3 linked regions of the Drosophila melanogaster genome follow. Changing the gene in region 2 together with the main gene of any one other region gives a genetic interaction. Each region holds a gene or a part of one and is shown on either strand. Other genes may lie near its edges.

Region 1 (7,989 bases), about 14 Mb from region 2:
AGACGGAGTTGATTATACAAATCTTTATACTCACATGCCTGTTATTAACTAGAAGAACTTTTAATGAAAATTTTTTACATTTTTGTCTCTCCAACGACAAAAATATTGAACATTTGCAATAAAACATAAAGTATAAGGCGAGCACTTTGCTTTTTGAAACTGCCAAAAAATTGCCCAATGAAATGCTTTAAAAAATACATAAATGTTAGTGCCTGGAAAATATATACATATATGCCACCACCTGATTCCCTGGTAGATGCCAGCAATATAATCCTATACGTGTATGGAGAGCCTACGGAACTCCAGCTTCCTGATCCCAGAGCACATTTCAATGTTCGGCATTACTAAACTCAGACTAAAACACACCCACAGGCAGCTCAACTTAGGCGTCAAGGATTCGCACAGTCCAAGGTAAAAGCGATGGCCGGCCAAAATGGCAGCGAGGGACCATCCCGAACTGAACTGCTTTGCTCTGATTTTGCAAGTGCTACGTTTTGAGTATGCTTTTTATTTGACCGCATATTGCTTTGCATTCGTTGTTAAAATTATTTTCATTTACTAAGCATAAGCCAAACCGTTGACATGGGAAAAGATAATCAGATAAGTGTCATTTATGCCCCTTTGCAGGCTAACAAACTCAAGGACAACACACCACCGTACGATGCACCGCCGCCCACGCCGATCAGCAAGGTCCTGAACATCACCGGCACCCCGATCGTTCGCAAGGAGAAGCGCCAGACCAGCGCCCGGTACAATGCCTCCAAGAACTGCGAACTGACGGCCCTCATTCCGCTAAACGAGAGTGAGTAGCCTTGGAGTAGATCCTACTACTTAGTATATTACTTTATAATACATGTACTGCCAGCTGTTCAGATCGATATCTCTTAAGCCTGCAGATCGGTTGCATGGGGTAGAACTTGGTCGTAGCCATGTCGTAGCATACATTTTAGGGCAGGGTTCCGTTTAGGCGATATAAAATTACCTTTCTTACTGTCTACCAACATCGTCAATTAAGTTTTTATGCAACTATACACTCAAAACAGATTGTATAAATCGTAGTAATTCCCATTAACGATGCATAATTACATATATTATGTCAATTAACTCCGGTAAATTTCCATGATTATAAGTTCAGCTTTAACTTACAAGAGGCATTCTCTGTAAAGTGTACCTACGACCTGCAAGCTTGTTGGGAATATTGATTGGCCGGCGCTTGATTAATTTCGCTCAGCTGTTGTAATTTGTTTATTATTTGTTAAAGTTAAAGGTCAAGGGAGTGTCGTCTGATTAGGTGGGTGGCAACACTGACGCACGGCCACTCACACATGTGAACCAAGCAGCCGCATCAATTCACACCTCTCTCCACCTCTCTCACTCACCGGAATTTCAACACATGCGCTCTCTCCGCAGCCTCTCATTACACTGGGAGAAAGCATCGTTAGAGGATTTCTCAGACCGTCTTAAATTTCATATATACACCGGCATTTCTTTATGACACAAATGTATTCGATTGATTTAAACTTGTGTATACAAATAATTAGAAAAACTGTATCCTGCAGGGAATTAATTTAAAAAAAAGCAAATTCAATATTTTTGAAAATCATATATGTACATATCTGCGCGTAATGATTATGAAATTGCTACACTTTTTTTTTCTGTGCAGCATGAATGTCATCGCATTGCGTTATTCACATACCTTTCTGCTAATTGCTTGGGCGGTTTCGACTCACAAATCGAATAAACAAATTTCGCTTGTTCAATACTATTTTATTTTATTAGGTTTTATTGTTATTGTGGCTCGCTCGCCCACCAGCCCACTTTCTCTCTCTTTATTTTCTCTCTGTCTGCTGCTCACCAAATTTCTCTCCATTTCATTCTCTCTCGATATCGATTTTTCCGATTGGCGCAGCAGTCGAAGCAACAAAAAAAAAACCGTTTCAAGACCGTGAACGTCGTGTGCCCCGAAAACTTTAATATTAGTTGAAAATATTCGTTTCCCAAGTTAATTGCTCTCCTATCCTATTCCCTCATTTGTTCCCATTCGAACCGTAAGTTTTTCCACGTAATTATGGCCATTTGTGAGGCAAAAGAAGAATTTTAGCAGAGGCGTTGTCATTTCCATTTTCATTTCCAATTGCATTTCATTTCGTTTTGTGTTACCATCAGCGCATAATCGCATTTGGCGTTAATCTAAACCATTATCTATATTGCAATTCCATTACAGATTCTATAGTTTCATACTTAGCGTGCCCAAATTGAGTTTCTAGTGTAGTCTTTCTCATGTGTTGTTGTTGGTCGGCGGGGGCGGCTGGTAAAAAAAACAAGCGTTCCGTATCAAGATTAAAACCGAGTGCCATTTGCTCCAAGTGCCGGCACTAATGAGATGGTCTTCGGTGCTATGTTGCTGACGGGCAACGGGCTCAAAGGTCCCAAACAGCAGCAACAGCAACATCAGCAGGAGCCGCAGCAGCAGCAGCAGCAATCGCAACAGCAGCAGCAAGAGCAAAAGAAACCGGCGCCCATTAAATCCTCCAGCAAGGAGCAGGAAACGCAGCCCATTGCAGCCGGGTATTATGCCCTCGGCATACGCATACCCAAATCTCCATCGTTTCACAGCGGCCTAGATCAGCTGGCCGACGACGAGTTGGACGATCAGGTGCAGGATCAGCAGCAGGAGCAGCAACAGACCGGCAGCCGATTCAGGTTTAGCAGCGTGGAGGAGCTAAAGGCCAAGTTCGAGGGGCGGAAAACGCCCCTCTCACCGCCAGAGGCAGCAGCAGGAGGAGCAGCCGGATCCGGAGCACCCACCACATCCTCCTCACCATCGTCCTCGTCCACCAGCTCCAATTCGTCGGCCTCGGCCCTGTCCTCGCTTTCACAGGCGGCCTCATCCTCGCTAGCCTCGGCGGCTGCTAACTCCTCGGCCTCATCCTCGGCCGCCACATACGGTGGTGGAGCGAATTCGGCTGCAGCTGCACTGATTGCCTCCTCGCCATTTGGATCGCAGTCCTCCACTTCTTCGCTCTCGCTATCCTCGAATGCCGGCATGTCGAAGAACGCGGCAGGAGCAGGATCTGGATCTGGATCTGGAACAACGTCAACGGGCGCTGCTAGCGGCAGCAATTCACTTGTGTCCACTTTGGCACAACATTTCTCGGCGGCCACATCCGCCGCAGCATCGGCGGCAGCCGCTGCGGCATCCTCTGCCTCGGCGGCGTCCTCCTCGTCAGCTTCCTCCTCATCCACCGCCACCAACAACGCAGCCAGCAGCTCCATCGCCGCCAGCAAGGTTTGCAGCTTGGTCTTGTCCACATACACACACACCCAGCGATCTGAAAACCCAAAACATAACCACATCACCACCTCCAAGTACAAACCACAAATTTTACACTTTCTTCCAAACTTTCACTAATTGTGTTAGCTTTTTGGATAACGATAACTAAGTTTCAAAGAAAAAAATAACAATTCAAGTACCTTGTTAATCAAAGTTTTATTTACATTGTACGCTAGAAGCTAATACATTTAGTAGCATCTCACACACTATCCACCAACACTAACTCCATCCCAATTGAACAAACCGAAATTTGATAAACCAAAACCATACTCTGCTCTCATTTCATCGCTTCCTCATCATCCAGTCACCTGTGAGCGCGGCCGCGGCCATAAAGAACATACTGAATGCCACCAAGAGTGTGGGTACTAGTGCTGCGGCGGCGGCAGCAGCGGCGGCCACCTCCTCCTCATCATCCCCATCCTCTGCGGCGGCTGTGCCGTCGTCCGCCGCCACCGCCGTCGCCGCTGTTCCCACCACCAGCGATGTGCCCGCAGAGGAGATGCGTCCGACGGTGGCCCAGAATCTGGTGGGCGGCATTAGCATCTCATTGGGAATTGGCCAGCGCAATGGCGGCGCAGCACCTGCGTCATCAGCAGTAATGGTGACACCTAACGCCACCATGGTGGTGACCACATCGAGCCTAAGCATCCGGCAGAACGGTGACATACTGCCGGGTCATCCGGCGGGTCTTCAGCCCTCGCCCCAGACGCTCCAACAGCTGACGGGCAGTCCGGGAAGGGCTCGCGACCGGAATCTATTCTACACGCCACCCACCGCTTCGGTTGCCATGGCGCTGCCTGCACTGCGAGGTTGCTATCCCGAATGGATCCGGGCCAATGGCGATGGATGGAGCCATTCCAGCCATTGCCCTTGGGCCTGAGGTCCTCCGGCTACTTGATCCTTTCTTCCGATCTTCATTATGTTCGTTTTGAGTTTCGCTTGCCTGCTTTTGGTTGGTCGTTTTTGTAGTTGTAGGTTTTTTTTTTTTAATTTTATATTAAGGTCAATTTTATATGGCTTACATTTTGTTTGATATATCTATCACTTATATTATATATTTAAAAAAATTAATGATGATTTCATTTGTATTTCCATAGAGACCGCCGCCAGTGAACGTGAGGAGCTGTTCATACAGAAGATCCAGCAATGCTGCACACTGTTCGACTTCTCCGAGCCGCTCAGCGACCTCAAGTTCAAGGAGGTGAAGCGGGCGGCTCTGCACGAAATGGTCGATTTCCTCACCAACCAAAATGGCGTAATAACCGAAGTTATTTACCCGGAGGCGATCAATATGGTAAGCTACTAATTTACATATTTAAAATAATATCACATGCTTTTACCACAACATACTTATCTGTTCTCATCAGTTTGCTGTCAACCTTTTCCGAACTCTGCCGCCATCGTCCAACCCGAATGGTGCCGAATTCGATCCGGAGGAGGATGAGCCCACGTTGGAGTCCTCGTGGCCGCATCTGCAACTCGTTTACGAGCTGTTCTTGCGCTTCTTGGAGTCACCAGATTTTCAACCAAGCATGGCAAAACGTTTTATCGACCATCAATTTGTATTACAACTATTGGATTTATTCGATTCGGAGGATCCACGTGAACGTGATTTCCTGAAGACTGTTTTACATCGCATCTATGGAAAATTTTTGGGCTTGAGAGCATTTATTAGAAAGCAGATCAACAATGTCTTTTACAGGTGAGCTCGTCATTGGAATATCTATAAGGTTAATGCCTCACATTACTAATCGCATTCCACATTTAGATTTATTTATGAAACGGAGCATCATAATGGCATAGCCGAATTGTTGGAAATCCTGGGTAGCATTATCAATGGCTTTGCTCTGCCGCTTAAGGAGGAGCATAAACAATTTTTACTTAAGGTATTGCTGCCATTGCACAAAGCCAAGAGCCTCTCGGTCTACCATCCGCAGCTCACCTATTGTGTGGTGCAGTTCCTGGAGAAGGATCCTAGCTTATCGGAGGCGGTCATCAAGTGAGTAAAGAATTCCTTATTTTGCGCATTTTCTAATTAGCCTATCGCTGCCATATTTCAATATTCTTGCAGAAGCCTACTTAAATTTTGGCCCAAGACGCACAGTCCCAAGGAGGTTATGTTTTTGAACGAGCTGGAGGAGCTGTTGGACGTAATTGAGCCGGCCGAGTTCCAGAAGGTGATGGTGCCGCTGTTCCGCCAAATAGCCAAGTGCGTCTCTTCGCCTCATTTCCAGGTGGCCGAACGTGCGTTGTACTATTGGAACAACGAGTACATTATGTCGCTGATAACGGATAACTCGGCGGTGATATTACCCATTATGTTCCCAGCGCTCAATCGCAACTCAAAGACGCACTGGAACAAGACCATCCATGGTCTGATCTACAATGCACTCAAGCTGTTCATGGAGATAGATCAGCGGCTTTTTGACGAGTGCAGCAAGAACTACAAGCAAGAGAAGCAGATGTATGTGTTAACTTTAGTTGATAATTAACTTCCATGGGACGATGCACTCACGTTTTATTACTTTGTACTAAACATTGGCGTTTTTTTTTTTTTTTTGCATTGCAGGGAGCGTGAGAAGCTGTCGCAAAGGGAGGAGCTCTGGCAACAGGTGGAGAGCTTGGCCAAGACCAACCCGGAGTGGACAAAGGCGCGCCGGTTTAACGACTGCCTGCCGGTCAGCGACAGCCGGGCCCTGTGCGATCAATATAGTGAGAACAGCGATTCAGCGTATGATCAGAGCGAGCAGAGGGCGCGCCAGCCGCCGCCTCCGCTGCCGCCACAGAAACAGGCGCACCAGGAGCCCCGAGAGGTGAGACAGGCACTTGCCACATTAACAACACTAAACAACTACTAATCCGCCACGTGTGATCCTGGCGTCGCTGTGAGCTGTGCCCAGCTAAGGCCCACTCTGTTTCAACTCTAATTCTAATCGAACGAATGTCTGTTAAAATAATCACACTCATGTCATTTAAAAAAAAAAAAATACATATTTGTATATCTTTAACTTTGTCTATTTATTTATTAATTATTTGGTAACCTCACTGTCTGCCAAACCAAACGCATCCATGCAAATTCATCCACGACACAACAACTTTTCTCCTGCACTTTTGGTTAACCGCATACGAATTGGGCGGAATTAATATGTAGTTTATCTTACTTAGATGTTAATTACACTTTGGTCCATCTTTTAACTCATTTGTGGTCATTTTAATGAGAGAACGCGTTCCTTTTGTAACATCAATATGATTCTCATTTATTAATTTGAACACTTAACATAATTTTCCTCAAGTGAATCACCATTTTTAAGCATGAATCCCAGTTAGAGTAAAATCTGTGCACATAACTATTAAAAACTAGTGTCAAATGTATCATGTTGTTAACAACTCAGAACCAGAAACCATACAACACTCCTCGATCTCAGACCTTTGTAACACAATTCGACATTCGGGTGTAGATGTATATATATATCGTAGTCGTGTGTTGTCCAACTGGTGGTCATCGAGTTTCCATCCAGCACCACAGCACTCGATATCGTAACGCAATCATCCCGCACCACCGTGTAACTTCACCCGCCCAGTGTGTGTGTGTGTGTGTGCTGCGATGCCTTAGTGTCAGAAGCGGGTCCATTTTCTATTGCCAAACCCCCCTTCCCGTTCCACACAGATTCGTGGCGAACGGAACAAGGACAAGCCGCTGCTGCGCCGGAAATCGGACCTGCCATCGGACAGTGGAACCGTGAAGGCGCTAAACGAGCACAAGCGGACGGATGAGTACCTCACAACGCCGCCGCCGGATGGAAACTACTAGGAGAGAGCTGGCCAGCCGACGCCACCAATATTCGTAGCTCCAATGAGGAGGATAGTCAAACCACAGAACTTACCCAAATAGACCTACACACTCCAGACTAAGGCCAGAAAGCATACATATATAGAAGCACAAGTCCAAGTCCAGAGATGAAGGATAGAATCCGCACAACTAGAGAACAAACAATTTTGAACGATGCATTTGCATTTGGGGGCTTAGAGTGGGGGCGTGGCAACGGATGCAAGCCAATTGCTATATATATATACACATACAAAATACCTATCTTTAGTGATCATGCATAGTACCAATAAAGATCAAGAATCCCCAACGAGATCGATTGTCTAGCTCCAATTTCGTTTGCATATGCATTTCAAGATTACCCTTTTGCTCCAACGCATGCCACAGTGAAGCTTAGCCCTGAATGACCTTCTTATATATATTCTTATTTCTTATATCTTTTACCCAATGCATGTTGCTGCTAGCGTTGCTTTAGCTATAGCCCTATCAATTAGATCTAATTGTGCAATAATCTGGTATCACAACTATGCTCTTACCATTTCAGTAAACGCGTGAATATAATTGTACAGTTGAATTTGAATTGTCTAACTTAAGGCGTAGGCGTTTACCACCTTGATTGAGTACATATATATCCCCCGATTTCTGCCACATGCATACATAGATAGCTATATGACATCCAGACATTCATGCCACATGCCACTATTATACACACATACTATATAAAACATGTTTACTACTCCACGACTCAAATTTGCAAATATTGTACGCTATTTAGCCTAGCAGTTAGAGCAGCATACCCATAATATATTTATATGAAACAAATCGCCCA
Region 2 (4,578 bases):
CGTCTGACCAAGTTCCTGCATCACCATGTGTACGCTAGCACCAATCTCCGAGGGATACGCGTCACCCCGGTTCACAGCCTTAAGGGGAAGGGAGTGGGCAGTGAAGAGGATGACCACATCATTTCGTTTCGTTTCCACAAATTTGGCCAGCTCGTCGCGAATTCGCTGGGCAAACGTTTTGATTAGAAGTGGATGAGTGCCCCACCTGTCGATAATGCTCCATTTGATATCCGAGGGCAGATTACTAAAGAGGTAGAGGGGATCAAATAAATAGCTGCAATTGTGCATTTCTAACTCACTTGCTCCGATAATGAGTAAATATGGAGTTAAAGCTGGATCCGGAGGTGGCGCAGCTGTACTGTGGATATTGTGAAAAGAGTACAACGCGCTCTGGTTTGTCCCTGTAAATATGTTAAAATATTAACATGTATTCTTTAAGTAGCGCAAATGACCATAATTTCCAGGTTTAGGTTTCAGTAATTTGTCCAAGAAGTCAACTGATAATAGCAGGACATTGAAACATGCATAAGAAGTCAGAAGTCTATACAAACTTATTTACTAGAACATATCTTATTGTGAGAGTCCGTAGCAATATATATAGGTCAATTTCACGACCTTCGGATTATTTACATCACTCTTGTTCTACTTCTCGACTACACTCACTTTTCGATCTCGGCCAGCGTGTTCTCAGTGAGGGGATTCACGTAGCGGAAACCGACGTAGTGCTTGTGAGGTGCTGTCTCCGGGGAGATTCTGTCCAACTGCTCGCACATGAGCTGGCCCTGCAGCTCGGTCCACTTAAGAATCGGTGAACCACCGCCGATCTCCTTGTACTTCTTCTGTACCTCGGGCGTCCTGCGCTGGGCGATCCACGGACCAAGACGGCTCTGCACCGGCAGCTGGATCATGTCCCGGTCGGTCATAATACGCAGGAGGTAGTCATGCACCTGGTCCGTGTGGGTCGGACCGCCCATGTTCAGCATTAGGATCGCGGTCTTCGGTTTTTGGCCGCTCAGGTTGCGCACTCCTCCTGCCAGACCACCTGTTGGGGAATATGTAGGAATGTCGTGGGAACTGTATCCACTCGTATACTCACTTGCCAGTCTGCAAAACTTTGTGTTATGCAAAAACATAGTTCCTTTTAAATTGACCCAAATTGATGGCACCGGTGTCGAATAGTGTTACCAGTTGCTAAAATAGTTTAAATACCAAAATGTATGATCTCACAGATTCTAGAGTTTTTCCAAACGTAACAGAGTTCTGTAAAAAGTAACCGTCACGCCATCTATGTGTGTAAAATAGCTGCCAACTATTACTCAACAGTAATCTAAATATTTAAAAATTTTTCCTTTTGTTACACATTTACCATTTAATTTCTCTTTATTGAAACCGAAACCAATATTTGGTATATACTGTTCTTCAAGCGACCAACAGAAATTTTTCGCGCATGCGTCCTTATTTCTTTCCCTTGTCATCAACGCTGCGTGCAACGGTAAAAGCTGACTGTGGTGCAGTCTCGCTCTTGCACGCTGCATTTCGCTCTCGTCGCTTGCTGCGAGTGTTTCGTTTCCTCCGATCAAATAATATTTTGTAGTTTTTCCACCGAATGCAGGCACAATTGCTTCGTAAAAACGCAATAAAAGGCGCGGCCCATGGTCCGAAAAGATAAGAAAGCTTGAAAAACAACCGAAAGTGTCGTTTAACATCGGAGAAAAGCAAAAGGACAAGCGGCGCAGCACAGTGAAAAAAACGTAGGAAGTTTTGGAGTGAGTGAGAGGGAAGGAGTTCCACCGCGGTGGTGGGTGTACGTGCGCGAGTATTGGTGATGTGTCCATGTCCGTGTTATCGCCACCAGCATTAAAGTGCTCCAATTCGTGGCGCACGCGCAGAATAACTAGCGCTCTCTTGCTCTCTTTCTCGACTTAGAAGAGGAACAGGATATTTTATTATACTGAAATTCCTACTCAGGAAATTCGCATAGTTGCGAAAGCTTCGCGCTGCCACACGGACGCATTCCGCTACGGGTTCCCCGCACCACCCACACACTCTCACACCCGCCTGCCGCGAGCCCACACACCGCGCCCGCAAGCACTCTCGCGCACAGATCAATGAAAAGGCCAAAAAATAAATTGCACCTTTTCCGGGAACCAAAAACATGTTGAAATTATCTCACAAGTTACGCAAAAAATGCCGCAGCAAAAAAGTTGCATGGGATGCCGTGAATGCGACGAAAGTGTGAAACGAAACGAAAGGCAACGAAAGACGGTGCAGAAAGGAGCAAAGAGAGGCTGCAAGGATGTACTGCTTCTCAAAATCCCAAGCCATTGACCACCGAATCAGCGATAAGTCTCTAACAACAAAAACCTGCACCTAGCCAATTGCATTTTGCATTCGCATTCTTACTGCCCCGGAAGTAAAAGCAGCTTCAGCGGAAATTAAAACCAATCAAAGCCGAAATAAAAGGTAACGCTAGCGAGCGAAAGAGATAGACATTTTTAGAGAAAAAGAGAGAGCAAGAGAGAGCTACCATAGAGAGCAAGTGCATCCTTTTCACAACGCGGCACACATTTACGACCGGTGACTGCAACTAGCCCACTCCCATACCTCCGCCCCTCTTCAACCCGACCCCAGTTGTCCCTTGCAATTTGTGATCTCACGTTTTCATAACTTGGGCAGTAGCCGTTGGCACGGATTAGACGCAAAACGTCAAGCATTAGGACGTCAGGAGAAACGCAGTTCCACAGTGCAGGTGAGTTTTCAACAAAGGGACCTATCCAGGAAACTCACTGGCGGCTATGCATTTAGTTAATTAAAAAACTATTTGAAGGGTGAAAAGTCCATCATAGGAAATGACCTTGTCGCTATCAAATTCGGCTGTGCTTGATAAGGCTCCCACAACTCGAATAAGCGATCATTTGTGGCAAGTGTGATTATGCGCAATTTTCTGTTAAAACAAATCCTGTTTCCAGAACTTCTAATGCTTTGTTGGTTAGCGTTATTTTGCCTTTTACTAAAAACCTTTTGAAAGAAAAGGAAACGTCTTCTGATAGGCTATCATCATTCATTGTAGTCATTGGAGGTGGAGGTTCCAATTTAATCGTAAGAAAACATGGCATATCGTCAAATCAATTCGAGCAAATGTAATATAAGCGGTGTCTATTCCAGCAGCAAATTATTTCAAGATCTCCTCTATTACACACAAGAGATGAAGATCTAGGATATATACGACTAGGTGAGAGGAACAGAAAGCAAAACATTTACCGCGACATTAACAATCAAAAATCTTGTTTGGACGCTTTTTATGCTCAAAGCCCCCATAACTTTTTACACCCCGAATCGCCCCTTCAGTCCGCCAAACTACCCCCAAGCTAAAAGCTTTGCTCCAATTTACCAGCAAACAGAGAACTTTGTGTGGAGCCCCATACCATACAAATAATTTAAAAAAGCTGAGCCGCACAACTATCTTAATTTTATGTTAGAACTAAAGCCCCTTGTATAAAAAAAATGATAGCAAGCCTCTTACGGTAGCCAAAAATGGATTTCCATAGAGACCATTAAAATCGCTTGGTACTTTTTGTTGTATTAATTTACGTTGTTATTTATTAACTTATTTTAAGGCAGTATTGTTCACATATAGAAAATCTTTAAACAGAAAGTTATTTTTAAAATTGCATATTATTTTGTTTGGTCCTTATGTGTGTGGTATAAGCCGAGCTGTAATACAACATGTGGATGGCGACTTCCATTCTGTGCAGCCATAATTCCATCTTTTTGATTCTGCCCTCACTAATTAGATAAATTCACAGTTTCCCCGCAACTTTGCTAGTTTTTATGGTTTCGAGCATATTTTTGGCATTTTAATGCGACTTCTATCCGTCGTCCAAATGGCGAGTTGGGAGCTCCAAATTCGGAGTTGCGAGTTTCTAGTTGCGGGTTGCTGGTGGCATGTTGCACAGTCGTCAGGTGAGTCAGCTGAGCACCGGCAGAAAGGACCACATGGCGCGAAGCGACTGCACTGAAAATTGGGGTTTTACCATGCAGATAATGGGATCCGATCTGAAAAGTAAATGATCGTAATATCGGTTGTCAAGAGCTGCGAGTCAGTTGTGGGGCCTTTTCGCGTTACAATTATAAGCTGAGCCGATAAATATAACTTCTAAAAGAAAGAGTATCCTTTTTTTGCCTCAGTGGGTGTGCAGTCGCATGAGCGTGCGGCAAAGCCCAGTGGGTGTGGGTGGGATGGTGGGTTTGCGGGTTAGGGTCCGACGGTCCCCAGTGGTGGGTCTGTGTTTCTTCTTTCGATGTATATTCCTTTGTCGGGTGCTACTAACCAGTCAAAGTGTGGAAAAGGGACTCATGGGGATGTGGCGTTGTGGATAAACTTCAACGCAGCAATAACCATACCAAACCAAATAATGCCATGATGGGGTTACAACTGAGCCCAAAGAGGGAAATCGATAAATCTGCCTGTCGTCATTGTAGCACTGCCTCAAGTAAAAATAATTTTAAAGTTTAAAATTCATATCGATATCTTATTAAATTCGGTTTTCACTATTTATGACAATTTCGTAATATTTG
Region 3 (4,600 bases), on a different chromosome or scaffold from region 2:
AATCACGAGAATCACGACTGCAGGTAGGTCCGTGGCATATGTACGTATGCATGTTTTTGCGTCCATCTCCGTATATATATATATATATGTATGTATGTATGTATATGTATGCACTTGTAAAAATCAATTAAACTTTTCAAGTGAAGTTATAATGGCTGGCAACCCTTTCGAGCACTCACACTCATTTTTCTGCTTGATTTTTTGCGGACTTTCGACTTTCCCCTACATACATACATACACATATATTGTTTTTGTTGCCTCTGGCTGTTCAGTCAGTTTCTTATTGTTTTCATAGCCTTGCAACGCCTTGTTGTTGCAGTTGTCAAAAGTTTTAAAATAATTGGATTTTTTTCGGTCTCCATGTGCGAACGAGTGAGTGAGTGAGAGCACTGTGAGCACAGAACACGAACATCGGAATGTCGACGACTGCAGCCGAAAAAAAGGAGAGAGAGAGGTGGTGGAAAATGGAGGTATTGCCGCCCCCAAACTCATTCTATATAAATTAAAATTTCTTTGTTGCAAACCCCTTCGCGTTCACACACACACACACACCGACATCCAGACACAGGAGGGTACTTAATGCAGGATTGCTGCAGTCATCCAACCAACGCCATCATCACGAGTATTACCCAATTTCCAGCTGAAGTTTTCAACACCAAATTGTAAACGTCAACAACAAGCGGCGAAAAAGAAGAGTGGGCGTGGCCGATCAGCCGCCTTTATATAGCCAACGATGGCATGACGAACGAATGGTAAAACGCTGTTTGAACAGTGAGAATGGAAGGTGGGGGGGGGGGGGGTGCCCATTGAAGTACTAGTCCTTTTGCTTTGGCTCCAACTGAGGCCCATAGGGCTAATGGGAGTGGGGATAGTTCGAGTCGCTGTGAAATGCAAAGAGCAAATTAAGCCCCCTCTCATTTATCAATATCAATCCATCCATCTATATATATATATATATCTAGCTACTGTTTTCATTCAATAGGAGCAACCACATGTTAATATAATAAACAAGTTACATAGTAATTTCAACTTGGTCAGCACCTAATTAACCCCAAGCCCTGCGAACGATGTATCAAGCGATATAATTTCAATTAGGCTAATGTAAGCCATAGAATAGCCTATAGTTTTTAACAACCATATCCTACGATTTTCGATTCTGTTTCTGCCAAAGAAAGTAGCCCTTACCACTTGTGAAGCCTACTTTGGGTATTCGTTATACATGGCGTATGCGTATTATTTTACACTGGCGCAGAAAAAACGTTTTTGTTTCAAACCTCATTTCAAGTTTGGATCGAAAAAGGAATGAAAGGAAAAATTTTTACTTCGCCCCTTCGTCGGCAATTTTTCTCCTTTCTGCTTCTGCTTCTAATAAAAACACTTGACACCAAAAACGAGGAAAGTTCCTTGAGGCAAGTGGTGAAAGACATTTTAGGTTGAGTTGTGTTGTACGAGTTTCTACAACGAAAATATTAAATACTTGTCAAAACACTTGGAAAGGCTTTTTTTCAGAATATTTACTTTTATAAGTTTTATTGAGAATTTACTCAAAAATAATATTTTATACTAGAGAATTGAGCAGAAGGCTCTGAATAAGGAACTCGCTTGAAAATATTGAATAGCAGATAATGTCAATTGAAAAATGCTTCATTTTGAGAACAGCTTTAAGCATTAGTAAACATTTTGGCTTTAAAACAACCTATATATATAGAATCTTATTTAGCTTTGCAAGGCCAGGCCAAACTTAAATTTTCTTGAGCTCTTGCCAAGAACTTCCCATTACTTGCCGAGGACATAACTATGTCAATCTGCAGACCCACACTCACACAGGACACACACTGCAGTCCTTTTTTCGCCTTAGCTGAAAATCACTTCGCAGCTGGTCCTAAAACGATTTTAGGCCGCTCCAATCACAAACACACACTCTCGGCACACCCGAATCGGAAGGCAGCGAAAACATCAGCCACAACAATCCTTGCAGGACGCAGCGTTATTTTCGCACCAAACTGCAGGAAACCCCGCCAGGACCTCAATCGAAAAAGAACTGTGAAAAATTGCCAACCGTTTCGCTTTGAGGCCAAAAGGAGCGGGCCGAAAAAAGAGCTGCTCGCTCGTAAAACTGCAAATGAAAATAGATAAAAAGTATCTGTCGTCCCAACCAGTAAACTTCATTTTGTAAATCAATTGAATTTTCAATTGTGTGCGAGCAAACTAAACCAAACCAAACCAAACCACGACGAAACGACGGAGCACAAAAAGAAAAAGTAGGTAAACATAAAAGGACAAATAAAGGAAACGACACTATTACGGAAGAAAGGATGGGGAGACCGAAGGAATCCCCTTCTCCCCGGGGCAATCGTTTCAATCTCCATCTCGAGCAGCGGCACAGGATTGCCGTTTCTTATTAGCAGGGCCAGGACGATAAGGATAAAGTCCATATATATATCGATATTCATAAGGAAATTCCAGGTCACACGCACACACCACACACCAGGCTTCTGATAATTTTCAGAGTTTGTTTTCTCTTTAGATTTTACCGATTTATCCGCCAGGTATTATCGGCTACGTCAGTTGTTCTTCGGTAATTATGTTTCGCGGAAGTTCCTCGCCTGCAACTCGGATGGTGTAATTATGGGAATAATTTTTTAACCGGCTTGCGGCAAAACACGTTCACAAAAACAAGTGCACACATATGTACGAGTACAGCGGCAACAACGAGTTAATGGAGAAAGGGTTGAAGGGGGTTGAACCGAGGCAAGCCGAGGAGTTCGACGATTTGGTTTTTGGTTAACTTGGCTAAAATCACTTTGCCGGATTTTCGAAATGCTGCGGCTCTTTGCTATTGCATTATAACCGAGTACGATCTGTGGTTATGTTATATCACTCGAAATTGGATTCAAACGATTCGTTGGATTTTTTGCGAATTTTGTGTAATATACAATTTGCTGTCGCGCTGCTTGTTGCCCGATTATCGCACACACACGGCTGAGAAGGACGCGCTCTGTTTCTTACACGCTCGTTACATCCTGCCAAATCCCGAAATTGTACTAAATACGTACAAAACTTTTACGATTGGCTAAGGCTGCTAGCAGCAATGCTCGTGTTTTCCTCGCGTTCAGTGTGTGCGTTTGTGAGTCGCCACTCGACCCGAAGAGTCCTTCAGCGTGCCCGAGGATGCGCCGACCGAGCGCCGAGTGTGGTGGATTTTTCCGGAGAGCGGAAAAGCCGAGAAATTCGCCAGCCGAAGCTGCGAGCGATGGAAGAGAAACACCAAAGGATGGCTACTCAAAAGGAACTCACTTTGTACTCAGAACTCAATCGAATAGACAAACCATTCTGGGAAATGTTAAGAGCACACAAATCGGAGTGATTCTAAATAGCATTCAAAAATCACTCAGTTTAAAATGTTATGGAACAGTTGAGTGCAAGGAATATTTGATAAAATAACATAAAATAAATTTGAAAAAAATGTAAAATAAACTGAGAGGAATTACGAAACATCATTTTTAGCATGAGTTTCAAAAAATATTTTATATTTAATATAAAATTGGGATTTTCTTTAGCATTATAAAAATTATTATTTAATTCTTATAAATGTATGGGAATGGTAAATCCAGTTTACACTGCTCGCTCGATTCGAGCTAATTTATTTAACATTGAGATAATCACTGAGTGCTTTTATAGCAAAACCAGCAATGTTTCTCTTAGAGTGAAGTGCTTGCTGGGTAATAACATTTATAGCTCAACTAAAAAGGACTCGAATTGCAGACGCAAAGAGTACAGGCTTATATGAGAAATGTAAACGCATTTTAAATGCTCAAAGGCAACAAAACAGACTCACTCAATTTCGAGATTCGAGACCTGCGAGGCTTAGAACATGAAACCAAAGAGAAGCAAATCTGCGATTAAGGCAACTCAATCCTTCTCAGCAAGGACTTGCTCGAAGAGAGCCTGGTGAGATGGCTAAACGAGCTTTCGACGTGGGTGAATCGGAAAGGTTCGGCTTTTAGGCGCCGAGCCCGTCGACGAAGGTGAAAAGCGAATCGCGTCCACGAAAAGCCCGCCATTGACTTTGACCGTCGTTCGCCAGTCGTCAGTTTCAACTGGAGCGGCGGGCAGTAAGCTGAAATCGGCTGAAAGGACGAGCTGGCAGGATATTTCGCAGAAGGGCGAACCAGCGCAGTGCCGAGCAGGAAAAGGCGAGAAACGGCCTGTGCTAATTTTCCTGGCTAGCTAGATTTTTGGCGCGCTCCAGATTTAATCCTGCAGTCTAAGTGAATGTGAAATGTAACAAGCCAAGTGACAGTTACCAAAAGTCAGAAGACAAAAGGAAGGGAGGAAAGCTAAAAGGCAGAAAGCCACCGAACAGATGGAAACAACTCGCAGATGCTGATGTTCCTGCCCCAGGAGACATTTAACATAATAAAAACGAACGTGTGCGGCATTTTGTGTTGCCTTTTGGCCAAGTTAACTCCTGTTCCTGCATCTGTGTGTGTGTGTGTGTGTGTTCGTTACATGCTAATATCACAGACACTCGCCCGCGCACAACCCACACAAACTTACAAACAAACAATATTGCAAATGTGTGCGTGAGGCAGTTGGC

Evidence for each region.
Region 1: of RhoGAP100F (region 2) and wrd, changing one suppresses a phenotype caused by changing the other (phenotypic suppression), as found in Drosophila melanogaster (one study listed by BioGRID).
Region 3: of RhoGAP100F (region 2) and Lar, changing one suppresses a phenotype caused by changing the other (phenotypic suppression), as found in Drosophila melanogaster (one study listed by BioGRID).

The regions. Positions count from the first base shown.
Region 1 is NT_033777.3:18,170,902-18,178,890, forward strand, and holds wrd (well-rounded), read left to right. Parts: upstream 1-1,942; 5' UTR 1,943-2,048; intron 2,049-2,224; 5' UTR 2,225-2,383; coding exon 2,384-3,289; intron 3,290-3,638; coding exon 3,639-4,143; intron 4,144-4,431; coding exon 4,432-4,628; intron 4,629-4,701; coding exon 4,702-5,036; intron 5,037-5,102; coding exon 5,103-5,333; intron 5,334-5,405; coding exon 5,406-5,798; intron 5,799-5,903; coding exon 5,904-6,147; coding exon of another isoform or gene 6,148-6,192; exon of another isoform or gene 6,193-6,340; intron 6,341-7,001; coding exon 7,002-7,145; 3' UTR 7,146-7,474; downstream 7,475-7,989.
Region 2 is NT_033777.3:31,811,078-31,815,655, forward strand, and holds the start of RhoGAP100F (Rho GTPase activating protein at 100F), read left to right. Parts: upstream 1-1,531; 5' UTR 1,532-2,749; intron 2,750-4,578. Other genes in the region: FeCH (ferrochelatase), read right to left, coding at 1-244, 300-401, 664-1,042, 1,097-1,133. UniProt on the Drosophila melanogaster protein: GTPase activator for the Rho-type GTPases by converting them to an inactive GDP-bound state. Promotes the anchoring of Liprin-alpha clusters at synapses. Recruits and keeps Nrx-1 levels high in active zones in the presynapse opposite the postsynaptic region.
Region 3 is NT_033779.5:19,605,016-19,609,615, reverse strand, and holds the start of Lar (Leukocyte-antigen-related-like), read right to left. Parts: upstream 3,048-4,600; 5' UTR 2,535-3,047; intron 1-2,534. UniProt on the Drosophila melanogaster protein: Possible cell adhesion receptor. It possesses an intrinsic protein tyrosine phosphatase activity (PTPase). It controls motor axon guidance. In the developing eye, has a role in normal axonal targeting of the R7 photoreceptor, where it negatively regulates bdl.